Rattus norvegicus: one gene and its partners. The protein of the gene in region 1 interacts with the protein of each later gene in a pairwise test. Links are inferred from orthologs where the notes say so. Each region holds a gene or a part of one and is shown on either strand. Other genes may lie near its edges. The genes, in order: Rint1, Lmo2, Ribc1 and Epc1.

Region 1 (3,565 bases):
TGGTGGGACACACCCTTGATCCTAGCATTTGAGAGGCAAAGGCAGGTGGATCTCAATGAGTCTGAGGCCAACTTGGGCCAAAACAGAAAGCAAGCAAGCAAACAACAAAACAAACCAAAAGCCTCAAGTCAGCTCAACGGTCACTGAGTGCTTACACTTTCTCTCCACAGTCAGCCATCTCTGGAAACAGGTTTCCTCCGACAGAATGTGCATGCAGCTGGCAAATGTGCTAGGATAGCCATGGACACTGTGCAGCTCCCTTTCAAACAACAGCACCTCGTCTACCAGATGACAGAAGAGACTATCGTCATAGAGCAGGCAAGGGATATCAGACGCCAGCTTCTCAAGGATGAGCATCACGAGGCCGCGAGAAAACTCAAGCTGAAAGAGAGGCAAGGAGGCATGAGGGAGGGACTGTGCCCAGGGGGCCTCCAGGAAGCCGGAGTGCACGGGGCTCAGCCTCTTACCCTTGCGTTCACTGCAGAACCCACTTTATCCAGTATTGGCTGGATCTTCTCATCCAGAAAGTGAGAATGGCTTCCAATCCACAGAAGTACCTGAGCGAAGTACCATTCAGGCTAAGAGGAAGGGAAAATGGGGTTAGTTCTGCATTCACTCTACGATGACGGGAAAGTCTAATTAAATGCACACAGTTATGGACAGACATAAAAATTAACTGAAAACTCCTATATGTAAGAAAGCAATTCTTACCCTGCACTTCAAACTCACAAAAGACTTCATAATCAAATGTTTCCCAGTATACTTCCACAACAAATGCTAATAATGTGGCCTAACTCAGTAAACTCGTAATTTAAAATGCCACATTGGGGTTAGGTGTGGTTTTGAAGTATAACGTTTGCCTGGCTATAAAAAGCCTTGTTTGAATCCCAGCATCACAGAAAAGAGGAAGAGAAGGCTTAAGAACAATACTGAGGAAAAGTCCCTCACACACGCAAGAAGGAGCATCTGGGGGGCTGGGGATTTAGCTCAGTGGTAGAGGCTTGCCTAGGAAGTGAAAGGCCCTGGGTTCGGTCCCCAGCTCCGAAAAAAAGAGCCAAAAAAAAAAAAAAAGAGGAGCATCTGCCCAGCACACGCCCTCATCCCAGAGCAAGATAAAACAAGCCACACCAGCAGGATGGCCCCGGGGTAAAGGCGCCTGCCAGCAAACCTGCCAACCTGAGCTTGATCCCTGGAACCAACGTGGGGGAGGGAGAGCGCTAACTCCCACAGATGTTGCTCTGACCTACACACAAACTTTGTAAAGCCCTCTAAGCCTAGCGTGATGAGGTATTACTAACAACTGATATTTCTGAAATAGCATTCCAAAAAGAAGGTTCTGAGATAGATCTCACGTAGCCCAAGCTAGCCTCAAAAATCTCTATGTTACTGAGGGTGACGGGCTTCAGGTCTTGTCACCTCTACTTTCCCAGTGCCAGGATTTCACACATGACATCAATATGCGCATCACACGTGACGTATGTGGTACTGGGGACCAACATGGGGCTTCACGTGAGCGGGACAAACGCTCTGTTGAGACTGACCTGCTTCCCCAAACACTTTTTTTTTCTTTTCTTTTTTTGTTTGGAGCTGAGGACTGAACCCAGGGCCTTGTGCTTGCTAGGCAAGTGCTCTACACTGAGCTAAATCCCCAACTCCTCCCCACCCCCAACTACTTTTTAAACAAGACTTTCTGCTGCTTCCTCTTTCCAAAAGGTAAAGTAAGGAAAAGAGTCTAGTGGCCTAATTACTAATACATCTACGCTGTAAACTGGGTGTGATGTACAAAGGAAACAGGCAGAGCATTTCAAAGTATTACACTTTTCTCTGTGCATATATGCATGCTAGAATGGATGTGTCTGGGTGGGTGGACAAGTGTCACTGTGGCAATCAGATGACACCTTTGGGAGTTACTTTTCTCTTGTGACCACATGGGTCCTAGGGATCACACTCAAACTTGGAGGTGGTTTCCCCCACTGGGCCATGTCACTCACTCACCCCACATAAAGATTTTACTTTGTCTTTAGAGAGGATTCTGCACACATATAAGTTTTTCTAGACAACAACTTAAAACTCAGTGAACATGAACAGATGAACCGATGAGCTCCAGGTTCAGTAGAGACTTTGTCTCAAAATAAGGGAGAGAGTGACTGAAAAGGGTATCTGGCATTGACCTCTGGGTACACACACACATACACACGTGCATACACACGCACACCAGACACACCACACATACCACACACACACAAACACACCACACTTACATATACACACATAACACACACATATACATACACACCACACACATACAACACACACATATATACACACACATATACACACATACCACATACAACACACATACACAAACACATACCACACACACATATACACACAACACATACACACATACATACCATACACACCACACACACCACACACACAAAACACACACAACATATACACACACATTCACAACACACACAACACACACACATATACAGACACACATACCACACACATGTGCATGTGTGTTTCCTGTTTTTTATAGCTAGGGCTCTAACTAAGGGATAGAGCACTTGCCTTGAACAGGCAAGCCCTGGCTTCAGTCCCTAGCACTGACTGGCAAATCCCCAAGTGTTTTCAGTTGGGGATAAACAAGGGTGGCAGCATCTAATCCCAAGGACTGTCTCAGTGACAGTATACTAAATTCATTAGGATCACTCTTTCAAAATGAGCCAATCCAATCCAGAATTTTCTTACATTTTCTAAATGTTTAGTTTATGCTCTGTCTCATTGACTACTGAGGACTAAATGACTGTGCAGTCCCAACAACAGTCTAAACAAAACAGAAGACCCACTGCCACTAAGTTCACTCATATGACCTGAAAAATATCTGCTGTGGTCTTGCTCTTAATTCAGAACACTTGGTGAGCCCAGCTCCATACACTGCCTCGGCTGCAGCAACCATCAAGAACAAAGTGCTCTCTCAGATCAAGTGTTGGTAACGACTTCCTTTAACTGACTTATTCCGTCACTCCTTGCCATGGTATATGTCCTCCGTAGCTGAGTCACCATGGCACCTGTGCTCTCTCCTGTGGAACTCACTTCTTTCTTTCTGTTTATCTATGTGCAGGAGCGGTCTGTGCAGTGAGGTCCAGGTGGCTGTAAAGCCTGCACACACGAACACAACGTGATGACGTCCCAAAGACGGCACAGATACTGGCAACCTGTCAACCTGAGCCCCAGTCACGCCTACAGAGTGCAGCGAGGAGGCAGGAACCGACAGAGAAGGGAAAACAGAAACGTGAAGACAGACAGGCCTTGAGGCTAATCATGTAAAAGTCCACAGGCAACACTCACTACTAATGAACACTCAGGGTAGGATGGACACTGTGGGACCCCAGCCCTTGGGAGGCAGATGCAGAGGGAGCGGAGTCTGACTCAGCCGGGGCTCTCCTCAGACCCTGTCTCACAAACATAACCACGGAGGAGAGAGTGAAGCACACTCTGGCCAAGCACACCTTGCTGATGACGTTGGTCTGCCGGCTGCCTCTGAAGTGGTACC
Region 2 (3,998 bases), on another chromosome or scaffold:
ACAAGCCTAGGCAAGGGCTGACCTGCATCTGGAGATGCGATGGTGAAGATCCAAGCTGGCTTCGAGCAAGCACTCGGTGAGGCCGCTGGCAAGAGAGTGAGATACAGGAGAACGAGACATGCCGGTCTGAGGACAGATATGGACAGGACCAGACTCTGACTCAGTTTACCTTTCTATAATTAATGACATGCCATTCTCTCTGGTGAACAATTCAAGCCAAAGACTGAATGAGATTTACCTTAAGTTAATATTTGATATCCTTCTACCAGCCTGTCCTAAATAGGACACCTGAGTGTCCCTTTAGCTTTGATTTCTGGTAAAATTTCTCAAAAATTTCCCAGACAGAGGGGAAATGTTCCACAGACATTTCCCACAGGGCTTGCCCATCTTCAGTTACAGCCTTCCTTTTCTGGGCACATTCTGTAGGACGGATGAACTACTAGAGGACCTCATGAACTGGGTGCTCACTATTACAGCTGTGAGATACCTTTCAGGTTTCTAGTCTGGGGCAAAAAAGACACAAACTTTAGTCAGAGTGAACTTCCTTTACAGAACCCAATCCTCAGGCTGGAGAGAAGGCTTGGCAGTTAAGGATGTTTTCTGTTCTCCCAAAGGACCCAGGAGTCTCCACAAGCAAAACAGGTGAGTGCTAGTATCTGTGACTCCTGTTCTAGGAGACTCATCACCTCTAGCCTCCAGAGCACCTGCGCTCAGGTGCACACACACATCCATGCAGTTAGTATTTTTTTTTAAGGTACCAAACTCTGTAGACTCAATGTCTAATATAGGATTCATAGTGAAATTGTGCTGATAGGAAAGCAGTAAACACCAGTTCGCCAGACCCACTCCCTTACTGTGTAATCTTATGTCTCGTCCAATCTCTGAAAACTCGGGGCTCAGATGTAATTTTAAATGTATTTTTAAAAGGGAACAAGCTACAGACACCGACTCTTTTTTTTAAAGGGTTGTTGTTTTTCCTGAGATTTTAAGGAAGCTGGTCTTTATGTCAACAAACCTAGCTCCTTTCTGAGCTGTGTGTCTTAACCTTCAAGACTGAAGAGTGATGTTTATATTCTCGTTGGATCGTGGGACTTCCTGTATTTTATGAGAACACGCTGGGTTTTTATGCTGCTGACTGAGGGTAAAGCCCAGGTAAATAAACACCACACAAGACTGAAATTGAAGGGGGGGAGGCGAGTAGGAAAACTTCAGCAGGAAAGCACAATTCTTTTAAAGCAGGAAAAGAAAAGGAGGAAAAAACCCCACCAAAACAAATGCGTCTTAAAAGCCCAAATGGACAAGTCATTAACCAGCTCCTTTGGTCTTGTGTTAACAAATCCCTTCAAAGGATTAGATGAGGACTTCAAAGGAATAAAAACTCAAAACCAGACAGCTAATGATTCTTAAAAGGGCATTTGTGTGGACATGAAAAAAAAAAACCCAACAAAAAACAAAACAAAAAAAACCCCCAACACCTTCATTCTTGGCTCCCCTTGTTAAATCTAGAGAATGGGCTAGGGTACAGGCTGTGGAATGGGGGTGTTCTTTGCAAACCAGCGCAAAGCTCAGAGCATAAGACAGTACATACTCATACAACTCTTGGTTCGCTGACCCCAAGCCCTTCTGAAAGTTTGATGAGATTCTGTTCCCTAGGAAAACACACTGGAACAAAAAAAAAAAAAAAAAAGAACCAACTTTCGAGGTTCACATGCCCACAATAGGAGACTCATGGGAGGGGTGAACATGCACCCGGAGGAACTCCGGATTAGCAATTCTAGAAGTCTCTGGAGGCCAGAACCAGTCCCCAGATGGACAGGCGGACCTCATCGACTATCTGCTCTACTCCGGGCCTGGCAGTAGACTGTCAGAGACACCAGGGACGTTCTGGTTGGGATGCCCCTCTTTCCAAAGCCAAATAGACAAAAAGGAAGGGAATCTGGAGAGGGTGGGACGAAAGGGGAGAAGGCAGAATCTCGTCCTCCACTTTCCCTGCCCTGCACCTGTGCCTCGGAGCTCCGGGTGCCTGCTCCTGGGCAAACTTTCTGGCCCTTGTGAAGGTTTGGGGAGCTTTCTAGATAGCCCGGAGCGGTCCGCGGGGTTGATCCCAGTTTACAGCTTCCTCCAGTTCCGCCCAGCCCCTCTCGGTGTCTCCAGAGTCACCCGCGAGGAAAGAGAACCCCTGCGACACCGAGGGACCAAGGGCATGCTGCGGGCGCGCACCTGAAGTCAGCCCCTCGCGCCTTGCCTGGGACCCGGTGTGGGGTGCGGGGAGAGAAGCGCCACACTTACTCAGACGGGTCCAGGCTCTTCCTTTCGATGGCCGAGGACATTGGGGAGGGGGGAGGCGTGCCGGGCGGCGGGGGCGCTCCCTTTGTGGCGCGTGGCTGGCTAGCTGCCTGGACTCGGACCCCCTCGGGTGCTCGGGCGCCGCCGCTCCTGCGCCTCCTCTTGCTCGGTCGCTCGGCCGGCGAGCTCGCCCCTCCACGCTCAAGGACAGTCACCGCGCTCCCTTCAAACGCCAAAGAGAGAGAGCGAATCACCCAGCTGCCCCGCGCGCGGCGGCCGAGGCAGGGGGCCGGGGAGCAGCCCGGCCTCCCTCCGGCGGCTGCGACAGCTGCCGCTGCTCAAGACTTAACCTTCCATCCCGGTCCCGCTGCCGTCACCACAGCCGCCGCCGCCGCCGCCCGGTCCCGATCGCGCGCAGTCGCCGGCTCCGCCCGGCCGCCCCGAACCCCTCGCACCTTCGCTGGGGTCGGGGCGCCGAGGGCAGAGAGGGGGCGGCGGCCTGGGGGCGGGGAGCGGACCGCGCGGCTCTCCCGGGGCTCCCTCCTCTCTCGCGAAGGTCTATTTTCGCTCAGCTTCCCTCTGTCTCTGGTTTCATTTCCTTTTTCCTGATCACGATTCAAATACAATAGAAGGAAATCACATTTAAAGAGACAGCTGCCCGCCCCCTCCCCCTTTTTTTCTTCCTTTAAAAAAAAAAAAACGGGGCTCCTGGGGATTAGGAATCCAAACAGCAGCGGCGGCAGCAGCAGCAGCGGCGACGGCGGCAGCCCCGACTTGGCTTCTTAAAGGGACCCGTGGCAGAGACCGAGAGTCTTCCCTGAGCACCACTCCTGGGGCAAGAAGCCCGCTGCCACTAAACCGTCCTTTTCAGAGTTCCCCTTCTGCCCTTTCCCTTTGGTTTCAGGCTGAAAGTAACCACCTGGCGGTTCCAGCAGGAAAGAAATGCAAGCGTTGCTAGTGGCTGGCTAGCGAGCGCTCGTCTCGGGTTCGAGGTCCCAAGACCACGGTCGTGGTGCTCTACGAAGCCTGAGACAGTGCGGCTCTGCTGGCAGCAAGCTCGTAGCTGCGACTGCGCTCCAGAGAGGGGACGCAAGCTGTATGACCAGGGACCTCACGCGCTAGGTGCGCCTGAGCAGAGCTGGGGGCAGCTAATCCCGCAGGGAGGGTGGCTGGGAGGGACCACGTTGTCCGGGTCTCCTCTCCATCTGCTGGCGGCAGAATTCCCTCCCTCAGCATCTTTCAAAGAGCGAACTCCAGCGGTTAGGCTGGCCCTCTCTGCAAAGTATCAGCAATACTTGGACCGGAGGAAGTTCCTTGCCAATAATCAAGAACCTTACAGTTGTTACTTACTATTATTTTGCCCTATATAAAGCAAAGAAAAGGACAGGTTTCTCCTTCAGGCTTGAAGGCAAGTTCTAGAAGGACAAAGAAATGCAGAAGGGAAAGAAGAGGACTCTAGCTAGCTAGTTTTGCAGGGAGAAAAACCTAGGTTCTCCCGGGCCTCGAGTTCCTTGAAACTGAGTTCAGAAATGATCGTTCAAGTCCCGTTAGCTTATGATGAGGACAGTCTTCAGGTTTGTGAAGAGGAAAATTCCGAGTGCCTTCAGAATCCATCGTTAGTAAGAACAGCCTGGATCAAGGACGTAGGCATTTCAGTCCCATTTTAAAGACGGCTTTAATAGCCTGAAGATGATTGTTGAAGTCAGAACAGA
Region 3 (3,565 bases), on another chromosome or scaffold:
AGGCTAGAAGAAATCGTGAAAAGGAACGACAATGCCGATTCTTCAATGTGCGGAACCGAGTCATGGGGGTGAGTGGGTAATGGGTAACTTTACAAGACTGGGATTATTTGCTCCCTGTTCCTAGAATGGAATGTAGCAGTACATTTTAACTTTTCGGGACTCAAGCATGCCCTAGGACTGGAAAGGCAGGAGCTAGAGAACCAACCTCATATGCCTGGGCAGGGCTTAAGAAGAGAGGCAGAATTGTGAAGAGACAGATGATGGGGTGACAGCTGGCTCTCCTCTGGTCAGTTCTTGGACTATAGCTGGTTCTTGAGAAACAATGTGGAGCCATAAGAGGGTGTAAAGAAAATTCGATACTACATAAACCTAGGGTATTTCTGGAAGGCTAAATGTGACATTGTTATATTTGTTGCTTTTCTTTATTACTGTGGTAAAATACCTGACAAACAGAAGAAAGGGGGGTTTATTTTGGCTCAGTATGAGCATACAGTCTATTATTGGAGGAAAAGAAGAGGAGGTGGCTGGTCAATGTGCACCCACAGTTAGCAAGCAGAGTTGAGCTCTCTTTCTTCTTTTTATTCAGTCCAGGACTAGTCCTGGTATGGTACTGCCCTCAGTTAGGTTTTCCTACTTAAAAAGACATGTCCAGAGGTTTCTCTCCTAAATGATTCTGGATGCTGTCAAGCTGACAGTATTTTATGTAGCTTTTTATTTATTTAGGAGGGGCATGTGGGACCACAATGAATGCATATATGACTTCCTTCCACCATGTGGCTTTTTGGTACCAAACTTAATTGTCAGGCCTGAACTTTACCTATGGAACCAATTCACCAGACCATGTTGTCAATAGTAACCTTCACAGCTTTGAACCAAGCTGATGGATAGGGACTGAAAGGATGTTTATTCTTCACAAACTATCTGCCCTTCCATACTATTTTGAAACATTTTCAGTGAATTATAATGAAAAGGAAAATACTGATAGCTAAGAAACAAATAAACAGTTGCTGAGTGGGAAGGTAAAGAAAGGATCTAGGAAGGACACCATACTTGTGTTCAAAGCCAGGTCTGCTATTATATATGGATGGCTTATGGTACATAACCTATCTTGTCCTCCTCTGTAAAATGAGGCCAAATGAAGCATTGAGCTATCAACTTTGAAAAAAGTCAGAGCGTATTACCTGACCATGAGCAAACTGAAGTTTGAGTAGTCTGACTGAGATTCTGGTTGTAAGAATTTCCTTGGGACCTACCCTGGACCAAACACTACGTTGGACAGTGGGGAATACAATGATAGCTAAGGCCAGCTTCTCCTCACAGAACAGCTTACGGCCTAGTGGAGGAGATACTAGAAAGGCTAATGTCAATACAACATGGCTAGTGGGTCCTAGATTATGAGGGTAGAATCTTCCTGAGCAAGTCTTGGAGGGTAAACTGAAGTGTAGTAAAGAAGAAAGACTGTTCCAAAGGGGAGAAACAGTTGGAGCAAAGGCTGTGGGTTTGAAACAGCTTAGGATGTGCAGAGAACTAGAAGTACAGTTCCTTACACTACTGTGAGAGGAGAACAAAGCGATAAAGGCAGAGAAGCAGCAGCTAGACCACAGAGGTGTTTACAGGCTTCATTCAGGGCTTAGAACTTTATTTACTATGTCCTGAAGAGTTACAGGGTGACTCTGAAGAGGGTAATTCCCAAACAGCATCCTGTAGGGCATTCAATGTACGTTCGAAGATCCTCCTCTAACTTAGCTCCTTTCTTTGAGATGCAGGTGGATGTGGAAGCCCTCAACTACCAGGTGGAGGAACGAAAGTTTCGGGAGGCAATAGAGCGAAGCAAAGATATGGCTTATGGTAAATACTAGGGTGAAACAAAGGTATAAACCAGAAAGAGTGGCTTGAAGTTGGGAGATTCTGCCTCAGAATAGAGCCTGAGGCTCTGAGGGATGATAAAACAAAGCAAATGACCTTGGGAAGGGGCTTGGGAACAGAGGTTGACTGGGCTCTGTTCTGGCACCTTCATGTCTCTTTCAATCGCTCTCAGGTGCCAAGCATGCACACTATGATCTGGTAGCACAGATGCTAGAGAAAGAAGAGGCAGAACGAGCATGTCGGCTGTCCAAGAGAGTGCAGGATTTTCGGGAGCAAAGGCAGCAATTCAAGAATGGACACGAATTCGACTTCTGGGATCCAGACCATGTCCAGGAGTTTCAGGTCCCTTATTATGAGAACGAGGCATACTTTGGCCCAGCAAGCATGCAGTACTTCCTTGGAGAGGACCTGGAGAGGGCCTCACACCTGAGAATGCAGCAGGAACAGTTGAGATACAACCTGGAGAAACAGCTGCAGGAGCAACAGGCAGCCAGAGAAGAGGAAGCACGAGCAGGTAAGTAGCACAGCAGAGAGCTCATCCTGTTTGGGTAGAACACTGTGAGGAGGAACTTTACCCAGAGAGCTGGGGCAGAAAGGTTAGTCTGTGCATGCCCTAACTTCCCTGACTTCTTTCTTGGCACGTCTCTGAGGGAAGCATTTTACAGTTCTACTTACTTCCTGCTTCAGGCAAGTGAATGTTCCTTCTCTAGAATTGTTTTCCTCTCCTCATTTCATGAGACAGGGGCTTGCTATTTATATTTCACCTAGTCTGGGCTGGAACTCAGCAATCCCCCTTCCTCAGCCTCTCAAATACTGGGGTTTCAGGCACTTGCCACCTTGATAGCTCAGTTTCTTCATCTTTAAAATAGGGATTATAATATACATCACATAGAAAAGCAACTATTATTATGATACAGTCTGGCCACATCTCTCTTTTACACTAGGAGAAAACCTTTCCAGGGCAAGGGCCATGTCTTTCTACTCATTTCACCTTCCAGTGTCTCACCCGGCCTAAGAACAAAGAATCCAGTGTGTGGCTTGAAGGGGGAACAATTTAATAGCTTTGCTTATGCTGTGGCCATGACTGGCATGCCATTTTAATATGCTTCTCTACATCTTTATCATTGGCCTTCCCAGGTCATAGTTTGATTATCTATTGGATCTGTCTCTCCTACCAGAGAGGGAAGTTTGTTTGTTTTTTAAAGTGGGAGGTATTAGGACTTTGAACTTGCTATGTAACTAAGGATAACCTTGAAGTTCTGATCTTCCTGCCTCTGTGTTCCAAGAGCTGGAATTACAGGCATACAGCACCCTGGACTAGGCAGGGAGTTCTCTGAGACACGATCTAATTGTGTGGTATCCTTAGAACTCAACAAATAACCTTAAGACTGAGACTTAGTGAAATGACATTATTTAAGGCCACACCACTGAAAGGTGACAGAGCTTAGTTGTCATCCAAGTTGCTATGCTTTGCCCACCCTGACCCCAAAGAGTAGCTCCTTCCTTATCACTGCAGCTTTGACATGCAAATATAAACACACAGAGTATGCTGAAAAAATAATCAATATACGGATGCAGACTAGAATAGGCAAGTACAGTGCCCTGCCTGCATTTCTCTGTAGCTTTGCTCAGTGACCAACTGCGTCTAGCCGCGGACACTCGGGCTGCTGAACTGGCTAGGCTGGAGGAATCCTGCCGC
Region 4 (3,565 bases), on another chromosome or scaffold:
AACAGAGCAAATGTAGATTATTAGGGGAAACTGAGACTGACCCTCTGAGGGTAGGGGGGCCACCAGAGGGTTGCCTGAGCCTCTTTTAATAGTTCAAGCACTTGGCTCCCCAAGTAATAATTAACTCAAGCTGTTAAGAGGTTGCAGTTGTGGGGTGTGCTTTCGCTGTGTGACCGACTCGTGTCTGTGTTGCAGCAAGATAAGGCTGATCTTATTCGGCCGAAGCGCAAATATGAAAAGAAGCCCAAAGTCTTACCGTCGTCTGCTGCCGCACCCCAGCAGCCAAGTCCTGCTGCACTGCCAGGCTTCAGTGCTAAAGACTTAAACCAGTACGACTTCCCCAGCTCAGATGAAGAGCCTCTGTCACAGGTAAACAGAAGACCAGCTCTCTGCACACAGAAGAGGAACATAGAACCCGCATGTTTGACCTCTCGTTGCTTTATTTCAAGGTTTTGTCTGGCTCTTCAGAAGCTGAGGAAGAGAATGACCCTGATGGCCCTTTCGCTTTCCGTAGGAAAGCAGGCTGTCAGTACTATGCTGTAAGTGTCAGACTTTCTGTAAACAACAAACAGCAGACAGACTGACAAAATACAATAATTTGGATTTTTTTTTTAGCCTCATTTAGACCAAACTGGCAACTGGCCCTGGACTAGCCCTAAAGATGGAGGCCTGGGGGATGTGCGATATAGATATTGCTTAACTACTCTCACCGTACCCCAGAGGTGTCTTGGATTTGCACGAAGACGGGTCGGGCGCGGTGGAAGGTAACGCGCTTCTGCTTTCCTTGCACCAGCATGCTTTTTAGACATTGGAGTCAGAGTTTAAACTGAGGCCCTTCTTGTGAACAGAGTCTAGAAGCTCCAGCTTGCTATGCTTAGCAGAGCTGTCTACATGTTCCCTTTGCACTCCCAACGTCCTCACACACTACACTGCGTAGTCCCTACAGGCCCGTGTGGGTTCTTATCTCCCCAAGCTTCTTAGCACCTGAGTTATCACAGAGTAGAATCCCAAGAAAGGACAAGTATACTTGTGTGTACACACTCAGGATTGGTTCAGGAGACTACAACCAAAGTCGCTGAGTTCTGGGGAAAACCTTACGTTAACTACTGCAGTGACCACTTAACTTTGCTGCTCATGGCCTCAGTTTGTCAGGATGTGGTTCTGGGGTCTGAAATAGAATATTTCATACATGGAGTGGAGGAGAGAAGGAACTGCAAAGCACAGAAAAGTTTTGGTTGAAAGACAATTTGAAAAAAAGAACTTTGTCCAACATTGAGCTTTGAGGCTAAAAGAACCAGAGCCAACAAGATGACTCAGTGGGAAGAAGCGGTTGCCACCAAGGTGACAGCCTGAGTTCTGTCCCCAGGACTCACCTGGTGGAAGGAGAAAAGCAACTCTTGGGAATTGTCCTGTGGCTGCTGCGTGCACGCCGTGCTCTGCTCCGTGTGCTGTGCGCATACAGTGTGAGAGTCAAACGCTGCAGTGATGAACTTGCTCACTTTAAATGTCCAGTGTACTGTTGCTCAGCTTGGGGGAAAGCGTTCGGGAGAGAAAGGAAAGTCTGTGATGTAATCTCTGGTGTCTGCTCCTTGTGCAGGGTCTTGCTGGACAGAGCGCATTCAGACTATGACAGTATGTTTCACCACCTGGATCTGGACATGCTTTCCTCACCACAACCTTCTCCAGTCAATCAGTTTGCCAATACCTCAGAAACCAATACCTCGGACAGACCTTCCTCTAAAGACCTCAGTCAGATACTAGTCGATATCAAATCATGTAGATGGCGGCACTTTAGGCCCCGGACACCATCCCTTCCTGACAGTGACAGTGGTGAGCTCTCCAGTAGAAAGTTACACAGAAGTATAAGTCGAGCAGGACCAGCGCAGCCTGGGGCCCACACGTGCAGCGCCTCCACACAGAGCAGAAGTAGCAGTGGCTCGACACACTGTGGTATGTCCTTTTGTGGTACCCATTGCTATAAGGGTGGGGTCTCCCATCTTGTTGAGGATGTGGTATATTATTCCCGTAGTGAGGTCCTCACGTACTTCTTTGAGTTCTGCTCAGTAGTGCTGTTGCTGTGTGGGTTTGTGTGTACGTGCATCTTTCCTTAACCACAGCCAAAGAGAGGTGGTATGTTTGTCACTATATATTTAATGTTTAACTTGTTATCTTGAGGTAGCCCATGAACCACAAGATTCATTAATTTTCAAGTAATAAAATAAAAGGGACCCCAAGTTGTTATTGGTATGTACTTGAACATCATCTACTGTGATCTGTTTAAATTTAGAGGCCACTAGTCAGTAGTTAGACATAAACTTACATTGGCAGTCGTTCAGAATAAATACCAGAGAAGCTGACTTCTAATAGTTTGTAGATATTTTAAAGATAATCCCTACTTTGTTGTATAGTGTGAATAAAACACTGGGAACAATGCAATGTCCCGTGACTTTCTTTTTTAGAACACTTAGGTAGTCCACATTATCTGAGTTGTATAAATTATAAAAGCTCACTGTCAACATGGCTCAGCCTCACAGCCTGTGCTCAGTCCCCAGACCCACACAGTAGAAGGGAAGGATCCCACTCCTTCAGTCTGTTTCTGGCCTCAGTGCGTGTGCTGTGGCCTGTGTGCATGTACACAGTCAATACATACAATAAGTGAAGAGATATTTTTGAGATTTTTTTGTTGGTGGTAGTTGTTTTGGTGATTATTCTGAAACAGGGTTTCACTGTAGTTCTGGCTGTCCTGGCCACTTTGTAGGCCAGGCTGGCCTTGTACTCGTGGAGATCTGCCTGCTCGACCTCCCGAGTGCAGAGACTAAAGACATACATGTACCACCATGTCTGGCTTATGCTTGAAATGTTTTTAAATCATTTCATTAAAGTTCTTTTAGGATGATTTTAATACAGATTAAGAAGAGGATTGTTTCCCTAATTACCTTAAGTTACAATTAAAGTGTTTTCTACACATAAGAATTTGCTGACATCTTCAGAGGAAATGCTCCATAAACTAATTTACTTGTTAGTTACAAATAAAAGTAGTTCTGTGATCTGACCAAACTTGACAATCAGTTGTCAAAAAAATCTGTAGTTTCTGGGACTTTAGTGATTGTAATTCCACTAGTTTTACTAACCGTTTTTCTGTCCTGCAAGCCAGGCTGACAAGCTGGCTGATTGGAGCCTTAGTTAGCTATGCACGGGTGTGGGGAATTCAAAAGTGGAGACTCCTAATCGGTTCCCCCCAAATATTTTTGGAGATATATGAGGGTTTTTTTGAGATTTTTATGGAGAAAGTAGCCATGTTCTATCAACCACATCCTGTCACTCCTAAAGTGGAACACTATAGACCAGGACAGACCTCCAGATTTCATTTCAGTTTACGTAACATGGTGTGCTGGCGTGACTTACAGAGGCATGTCGGTGCCAGTTGCAAACTTTGCTGTTTTGTTTCTCCAACATCATTAAAAGGTAGACATTAGCAAAAGTTAGCTGAAAAAAGCCTTTCATAATTATGTAACTTTTCTTCTTAATCATTTTTTTTGACAATCAGACCTTTTTAAATGCTGTC

Evidence for each region.
Region 2: the proteins of Rint1 (region 1) and Lmo2 interact in binary tests that used the Homo sapiens proteins (3 or more experiments, as listed by UniProt). The two-hybrid records come from large-scale screens. The link is inferred for Rattus norvegicus from reciprocal best matches to the Homo sapiens genes RINT1 and LMO2.
Region 3: the proteins of Rint1 (region 1) and Ribc1 interact in binary tests that used the Homo sapiens proteins (3 or more experiments, as listed by UniProt). The two-hybrid records come from large-scale screens. The link is inferred for Rattus norvegicus from reciprocal best matches to the Homo sapiens genes RINT1 and RIBC1.
Region 4: the proteins of Rint1 (region 1) and Epc1 interact in binary tests that used the Homo sapiens proteins (3 or more experiments, as listed by UniProt). The two-hybrid records come from large-scale screens. The link is inferred for Rattus norvegicus from reciprocal best matches to the Homo sapiens genes RINT1 and EPC1.

Annotation. Positions count from the first base shown.
Region 1 is NC_086022.1:12,227,610-12,231,174, forward strand, and holds part of Rint1 (RAD50-interacting protein 1), read right to left. Parts: coding exon 3,522-3,565; intron 579-3,521; coding exon 468-578; intron 382-467; coding exon 156-381; intron 1-155. UniProt on the Homo sapiens protein: Involved in regulation of membrane traffic between the Golgi and the endoplasmic reticulum (ER); the function is proposed to depend on its association in the NRZ complex which is believed to play a role in SNARE assembly at the ER.
Region 2 is NC_086021.1:110,820,319-110,824,316, reverse strand, and holds the start of Lmo2 (rhombotin-2), read right to left. Parts: upstream 2,865-3,998; 5' UTR 2,644-2,864; coding exon 2,637-2,643; intron 2,510-2,636; coding exon 2,290-2,509; intron 1-2,289. UniProt on the Homo sapiens protein: Acts with TAL1/SCL to regulate red blood cell development. Also acts with LDB1 to maintain erythroid precursors in an immature state.
Region 3 is NC_086039.1:24,572,402-24,575,966, reverse strand, and holds part of Ribc1 (RIB43A-like with coiled-coils protein 1), read left to right. Parts: coding exon 1-68; intron 69-1,766; coding exon 1,767-1,848; intron 1,849-2,038; coding exon 2,039-2,380; intron 2,381-3,488; coding exon 3,489-3,565.
Region 4 is NC_086035.1:59,209,495-59,213,059, reverse strand, and holds part of Epc1 (enhancer of polycomb homolog 1), read left to right. Parts: intron 1-195; coding exon 196-369; intron 370-449; coding exon 450-539; intron 540-615; coding exon 616-764; intron 765-1,597; coding exon 1,598-1,950; intron 1,951-3,565. UniProt on the Homo sapiens protein: Component of the NuA4 histone acetyltransferase (HAT) complex, a multiprotein complex involved in transcriptional activation of select genes principally by acetylation of nucleosomal histones H4 and H2A.